2 linked regions of the Ovis aries genome follow. The protein of the gene in region 1 interacts with the protein of each later gene in a pairwise test. Links are inferred from orthologs where the notes say so. Each region holds a gene or a part of one and is shown on either strand. Other genes may lie near its edges. The genes, in order: AAGAB and AP2S1.

Region 1 (3,813 bases):
ATACCCTGAGATAGCTGAGACCTTGAAAACATGGTATTATACACACGAATGGTAGATTTAAAAAGGTGAGTTTGACGAACAGATTATTGCTATTTATGCCTAATCCAATGAAGGAAGGCTCCTCCTCCCGCCTGCCCACATCCTCTACTAAAAAACAACAAAACCATAAAAATATACATAAGCAGGCTTTATAAATAAATCACATTTTAATCACCTGGCTTTGTTTAATCCACAAGATCAAGTTCACAGCTTTTTATAGTCTGTTTTCCCAAACCATGTGACCTAATGTGTTCTCTGAAACCTTTCATATTTTAAGAAAAACTTGTTCCACCTTTCATTTTGCAACCCCAGAACTGACTTTCCCTACATTCCCCATCAATGGCCAAAGCAGTCACCTCAAAGAAACAGTGCTGGAATGGTGGTAAACTACAGTCTCAAAGACCCCCAGAATAGTTAAAAGAAAAAGAAAAAAAGTTATCAAGGAAGACAGCCTCCAGTTTTCCCTGGAACGGCCCTCCCCGAACATCGCACTCGCTGAAACCTTCCATCCTGTGGCCGCTCTGGCCAGGACCCTGGAGCATTCCATTCCTTCCGCCATCTGCAGCAGGCTCTGCAGGGCTGAGAAGGTGTCGCCGAGACAGGTCTGAAATTTGTTTCTGCTGGCGACCCACGGGGTTCACACCCACACCAGGCCAGCAGCAGCTCTCAGCCCGTGTGCCCTGAGCCAGCCGAGAGCCACGGCAGCTCTCAGCCCGTGTGCCCTGAGCCAGCCGAGAGCCACAGCAGCTCTCAGCCCGTGTGCCCTGAGCCAGCTGAGAGCCACGGCAGACGGAAGGCTCGTGACATGCATCTCACAGTCCCTAGACAGACAGAAACAGGTATCATTTGCTGTACTTCCCACTCTTCTGGGAGTTCTCTCCAGTGGAGGTCAGTTTCCCTGGAGCCGAACTCCTCAGCCCTGGAAGGAACACAGGTACTGTGGGATTCGCATGCCTTCCCACCAAGTCCCACTTAGGTGTCACTAGTTTGGCAGAGATCTCTGGAGTTCAGAGAGAGAAGAGGAAACACCCCTTGTTCTGAGGGTATCAACTGTGACAACACATCTCTGCCATCTCAAGTAGCAAACTCTAAGGAAGAAAAGTTTCTACATGGTAATACTAATGCAAAAATCTCGGGCCAGGATCATACCAATTCAATGGCCTATATAGGAAATTCCTTAGGTTTCTCTTACCCATGCCCCACCCCTACCCCTGCCCACAACTTGGTTGAGAAGGGTTTATTTTTATCCCCACCAGAGTAGAAAACCTTTGCATCATTTATTATAGTCTAAAAATTCACACTGGTTTTTCAATACTTTCTACCAAGAGGTCAGATACTGTATTTCAAATGAAATACGCAGATGCTTTTTTTTTTTTTCGCTAGAGACTAACCTGAGGGCCAGTGGCTGACCTATAATCTGTGCTACAGCACAGATTAAACGTGCAGTTTCTTCCTTTCCTCCCATCAAAAGCATCAAACCTCGAGCAGCAAGCTCCTTGAAAGAGAAAACCAGAAAACTCCTGATCTGCAGTGATCAACACGAACACAGGGATTGCTCCTCAAAAGACTGACCAGGGAAGCTTGGTGGTGGTTTTTCTTCTTTAACTTGGGCAAATCACACAGGCCTTCGAGGCTCACCCCACTCCCATTCCTAGAACAAAAAATGTTATATGAAAATTTCTCACTCCCTTATAATATACTGAGGGAGAAGAGATTTCTGCTTTACCCTCTACTAAAAACTAAAATTAACGGGACCCTATAAACAAACCAGGCAGCCAACATGATGCTGGTAAGCTCAGCAAAAGATGACGGGGTTAAGGAGAGAAGAATCTCAGGGAGAGAGTGCTAGGGTCCTAGTTAGGTAAGTCCTCGCATGAATAGTTCAGTGCTCTTCATCAGATGAAAGGCCTTCAATTTCATCTCTGTCTCCCCCAATTGCCATCCAGAAGGCTTTGGCCACCTGTGGAGAGAAGCAAGCAACGGAGTTCAGGCAACACCTAAACTTCAGCTCGTTTCATGTCACACACAGAACTGATTAAGACTTAAAACTCTTGCTCTTCAGTGCTCTGACAATACCTATCAAACCCCTGAACACCCTGATCCAGGACTTCTAGACTTTATACTGAGGATATAATCAGAACTGTATAAATAAGTGACATATAAGGGATATGAACAACTTCACTACAGAAAAAAAAAAAAAAAAGGCACATGACTGAAATGTCCAAAAGGGAAGTAGATAAGTAAGTTATGACACAGTCATACAATGGAATACCATAAACCATATACATTTCTTGCCAAGAACATGTGTTGGTAATAACCAACCCAACCCAAACAAAATAACTAAGAGTCTTCCAGCCCAACAGCTAGGAAGGCAAACATTCTGAGCCTCAATGTTCCACATCACTCAACATACACTGGAAAATCCTGGCTAGATGGCAGCAACTAAATATTCAAATAATTATAAGTGAATACCCAACAGAAAGTTCACAGTAAGACGCTTTAGCAGTAAACGAGTGTGACATGTAATTCTCGCAGCACTGGGCCTGCAGTAGGTAAGTAAATACCTGACTCAATTTCTCACCTTTTCTGCATGCATCTTTCTTTGCTCGTGAGGAAGCGTCGCAGCCTTGTCTAGGGGGAAAATACATCTTAAGAAATGCATCTAATTGCACAGGAGAATCTGGAGTGCATAGATGTTCTAACACTAGAAGATGGGCTGCAAAAACACATGTTCATGGTGGAGTCATTACAGCTGTTAGACAGTTTAAGGCTTCCAAATTTTCCAGATGGGACTGATGTGAGTACACTGGTAGGGATCTTACTGATTCCATGTTAATGAGACAGACTGAAAGAAACAGACAGGCAGGAGAAGGAGGAAAAGGAAAAAGAAAAAGAATGAAAAAAGAGGAGAATTTTCCTAAAGAAATTTTTACCAACAGAGGATGGCACAGTCCCACAGTATCTACATTTCGCAGATGAGGCCAAAGCATGGAATGCTATTAGCAGTTACAAAGTAAAATCCTACTAGATAAAACAGAGGAACATCACTATGGAAACCTGTAAGACCCAGTGGATCCAATTACCTTTCATTTCTTTTAACTTTGAAAACAGTCTTTCAAAATTCTCCAAATCTCCTCCACCTGTAGTAAGACTGGCAAGTTCTTGAATGTCCAGGTCTAACATGGGATCTGCAATAAGGATTTGCCACACAGTATTATGTATGTGCTAAATACAAAGAATCCTAAAGCAGTCAATCTGGCTTGGATGCAAGTTACCACTGAATGAGGGCCCAGCATGGACCAGCTGTACAGCTCCTGGTGCTGCATCCTGCCTGGCTGCTAGGGGGCCCTCACAAATGAACAGGGACTCTTTTTATCCTTGAAATAACAGCAGTGAGACAAAGAATTCTGTTTCTACCTTTCTTAAGAAAACTAGAGTACAGAGACAGGTGATCGTACTCTGGGTCGCCACTAGTAAGTGTGACCTTGGCTTCAGACTTACGCATGTATGCATGCTCGGTCCTGACTCTTTGGGATCCTATGGACTGCAGCCTGCCAGGCTCCCCTGTCCCTGGGATTTTCCAGGCAAGAATACTGGAATGGGTTGCCATTTCCTCTTCCAGGGGATCTTCCCGACCTAAGGATCAAACCCGCCTCTCCTGCAGCTCCTGCACTGGCAGGCAGGTTCTTCACCAGTGAGCCACCTGGGAAGCCCGGATTCAGACTTACGTGTTCCCAATTTCTGAAGCCCACACCCTGTACTAAGATATGCAGA
Region 2 (3,830 bases), on another chromosome or scaffold:
CTGCTCACTTTCAGGCCCTTGCAAGGGTCAACATCTAAGAGTGAGTGCCTTTTAAATTTTTGTACCTTGGGCACATTGCTTACTTTATCCTGGTCCCAACCCTGTAGATGATAGAGGAGTGCAAGAACTGAAAATGATCTCTTACCTCTTTTTGCCCCTACAGTTATTCAACACCTATGTGTTAGTTCTTCTGCGAATACCACACTTTTAATTTACATCCAGGATATGTTTTGTTTTTATTATGGCAAGTCTGCCCTCAGTAGCAATACCTTTATTGAGTGCTTACTATGTGCCACCGTGTTCTAGTAAGGGGTCCCCAACAGCTGGGCCGTGTAAGAAGACAGGTGTACCTGTGAATAGGAAGCAAGAAGACCCCTATTACATGATATAAACAGTGAACATTCATGATTTTAACTCACGTTTATTGAGCGCTTACCATGTGTTGAGCACTATGCTAAGTACTTGGGAAACTGGCCGAAGCTTTAAAGCCACCCCAGTGAGGTGACCCCTTGACCACTTCTCTTTAACAGATGAAGAAATTGAGTTAAGAGGTGAAACTGCTCGCCCAAAGTCACAGAGCTAGGGAATGCGACGGCAGGATTTGCACACAGTTCTGACTTCCAAATTGATGCTATTAAACCACTGTCTGTCTCCCAGAGAAACACTCAACACATTTTAAACAGAGCACTAGGTAAGCACGGAAACATAATTACATTTCCCAACGCTGTTTTATTTAAAACAGTTATTCCCAGCATGTCCTTCTCGCCTAGGCTGGGAGGTGGAGGGAGGGCTGACGGAACTACTTTTCCCAGGATGCAACTCTCGTCTCGCTGGCTGTCAGGCATGTCGGAAACTGTAGTCCTCTGAGGAGATAATAACCCGTGGCTCCCAACATGCATTTGGAGCCTGAACCTTGGCGTAGGAAAAGCCCAGTCGCGCGGCATGCTGGGAAGCGCGACCGGCTCTTTTCCCGGGTTGCCTCCCCGACGAGCGAGCCTATTTTTTTTTCAGGACTACAATTCCCAGTGGGCTGTGCGCGAGAGGGCGGGCGAGTTCTTCTGCCGGAAGTCCGCTTCTACGCTTGGGTCCCCCAACAGCTGCCGGAGCCGGAGCCACACAGAAGCCGCGGGACCGGGGCCACTGGGGTCCGGACGGGGGTCGCCATGGTAACGAGGGCGCGCCTACGCTGGGGACGGGCGAAGGGTGGGTCCACGTGCAGGTACTCCAGGCTCGGTGGGATACTGACAAGCCGCCCCTGCAGCGGTGCGATGGTCTGGGCCGGGCGCGGGCTCTCGGGATTGGGGCCGATCAAAGGCCGGCGAAGGAGGCAACTGGGGGTGGTTCTGGGCGCGAGTGTGTACTGGGGTTCTCGAGGCTAGGGGGGAGCTTTTGAAGACCAGGTGCCAGGGGAGAGGCCTGTACGGGAGGGAGATATTCGAGATGGTTGGAGGGTTTTGAAACTGGGAGGCTACTCATGAGGCAGGATCTCAGAAGCTGGGAGAAGGAACTGGAGGTGGGGAGGGGGCGTCCCAAGCGGAGGGCTTTCCGGGAGTGCGTCAGAAGAGCTGGAGAAAAATGGGAGACGTTGAGATAGGAGAGAGGGGGTCTCTAGGGGCAGGAAGCCGATGTTGCAGGCGGAGAGAGGGTGTTGGAACTGGGTGGGATACTGCTGGTGAGAGAGTCTCAAGGATAAGAGACTGGACCCTGGAGACAGGAAGTACTGTAGGGAATGGGGCTTTAGAGTTAGGAAAAGTGTGCTGTAAGAGGGAAGAAGGCTTGGAGTAGGCAGTGAATACTACACATGAATGGGGAGCAATGGAACAGGTCTCTGCAAGAGGAGGGTTCTCACAGGGTAGGGAGTAAGCATGGAAGTGAGAGGTGGAGAGGGGGTTTGGGGAACAAGGACTGGGCATTGGAGCTGGCGCCAATCCCCAGGGATGGGGCACCCTGACAGAGAGCCCTGAAACTGGGAAAGCAGGAGTCAAAGCAACTCCGGGGGGGCCGGGGGAACTTGGAGGTAGAGAAGGCTGGCGGGGGGCCGGGGGGGAGGTGGGCACTGAGAGGGGACATCAGAGGGGCGAGGATACAGAAAGGATGGGACTTCTCAGTGTGGATTCCCTGGGATGGAGAGACTCTGGTTGGAAGGAGAAACAGGAAGAAGTGTATGAGGGAGTTCAGGACTCAGAGACAGAGCTCTCCCTTAGTTCTATAGCCTTGCTCCCATCTCTCCTCCGATCTCCTCCATCTATCTCTGGCTCTGGCCCCCAGGCTGCGGCTGCCTGGTGTGAGTCCCACCCCCACCCCATGCCCTTTGCCTGCCTGCCAGGACCCCTGCCTTGCTAGGAAGTGGTTTTCCCTGGCTCAGCAGAAGGGGTTCTTGGAAGGAGAGTGTAATATCCTGTTCCCGTCCAGCTCAGATGAGTTGCGGGAGGAGGGATGGAGTGTGTGGAGAATGAGGCTTACGAAAGAGAGCAACCCCTCATGACCCGGTGGAGGCTTCCACAAGTCAGGATAAGGAGATTCAGAGCAAAGCCTTTGGATTCCCAGCTCTGCTTTCTGGCTGTGAGACTTCCATTCTCTGAGCCTCGATTTCTTCATCTATAAAATGGACATGAGCACACCCATCTCCAACAGAACTGGGCTCAAAGACAGACTTCCTAGCTGCATGCACTTGGCCCATGATTTTCTTAAAGTCAAATAACAATGAATTATATCGCTAAGAACTAATATTTGTATAATGCTTAGTATGTGCTGGTCACTGTTTTATCCCTGCTGTGTTCATGAACTCGTGCAACAGTCTCATGAGGGAGGTGCTCTCATTATACCCATTGTGCAGACAGTGAAACTGAGGTCCAGAGAGGTGAAGTAACTTGCCTACAGACTCACAGCCAACAGTGCCAGGATTCATATGGGCTCTAGAGTCTGTGTTTTTAGCCACTTGGTCAAATGCATCAGTCATAATAGTTAATTTTATTGAACACTCAGTATATAAATGGGACTATACAAAACACTTCTGAGATCAACTTGTTCGGTGTTCACAGTAGCCCTGTGACAGTTGAGCTGGCGTTTCAAAATCTTAAAAACACCTCAGGTCTCCTAGGCATCACTGATGATAATTGCAGCTGACACCTGGCTTGCCTGTTAGTGCCAGCCACTGACTAAATTTATAAACTTATTTAACCTTCAAAACACCCTGACAAGGTGAGTCTTCTAAGGAAAACTTGTTTCACCGTGGGGAAACTGAGGCGTAGAAGGGCGGATCTTTTGTCCAAGGTCAGGGAGACAAGACTTGGTGGAGCTTGGGACTCAGCGCCCTAGAAATGACTGCAGAGTTGGCCAGTGGATGAGAGATCACTCCACGGGGTGTTGGAGGGACCTGGGACCAGAGCAGGTGGCCAGGTCAGCCTGGCTGGGCTCAGGGGAGTGGCGGAGACCCTTGGAAGGCAGGCAGCCGGGACACATGGACCCTATCTTCCCCATGGGGCAGGGTGGGGCTGTTGGGCAGGGCCGCCCTGCACTGGCTCGCCCACCCCACCTCTCTCCCTGCCTCCTCCTCTTGCCATCCCCAGATCCGCTTCATTCTCATCCAGAACCGAGCAGGCAAGACGCGCCTGGCCAAGTGGTACATGCAGTTCGATGATGACGAGAAACAGAAGCTGATCGAGGAGGTGCATGCTGTGGTCACTGTCCGAGACGCCAAACACACCAACTTTGTGGAGGTGACAGCTACCCCCACCCCTGCCAGTGCCTCCCACACTCCCCCGCTTTGTTCTGATGCCCCCCTTCCCAGCCTCAGATGGCGATAACCTCTCAGACTCTCCTTCCTCCCT

Evidence for each region.
Region 2: the proteins of AAGAB (region 1) and AP2S1 interact in binary tests that used the Homo sapiens proteins (3 or more experiments, as listed by UniProt). The link is inferred for Ovis aries from reciprocal best matches to the Homo sapiens genes AAGAB and AP2S1.

The regions. Positions count from the first base shown.
Region 1 is NC_056060.1:14,000,752-14,004,564, forward strand, and holds the end of AAGAB (alpha- and gamma-adaptin-binding protein p34), read right to left. Parts: intron 3,228-3,813; coding exon 3,123-3,227; intron 2,756-3,122; coding exon 2,621-2,755; intron 2,000-2,620; coding exon 1,956-1,999; coding exon of another isoform or gene 1,922-1,955; 3' UTR 173-1,921; downstream 1-172. UniProt on the Homo sapiens protein: May be involved in endocytic recycling of growth factor receptors such as EGFR.
Region 2 is NC_056067.1:53,704,448-53,708,277, reverse strand, and holds the start of AP2S1 (AP-2 complex subunit sigma), read left to right. Parts: upstream 1-878; 5' UTR 879-893; coding exon 894-1,166; intron 1,167-3,569; coding exon 3,570-3,719; intron 3,720-3,830. UniProt on the Homo sapiens protein: Component of the adaptor protein complex 2 (AP-2). Adaptor protein complexes function in protein transport via transport vesicles in different membrane traffic pathways.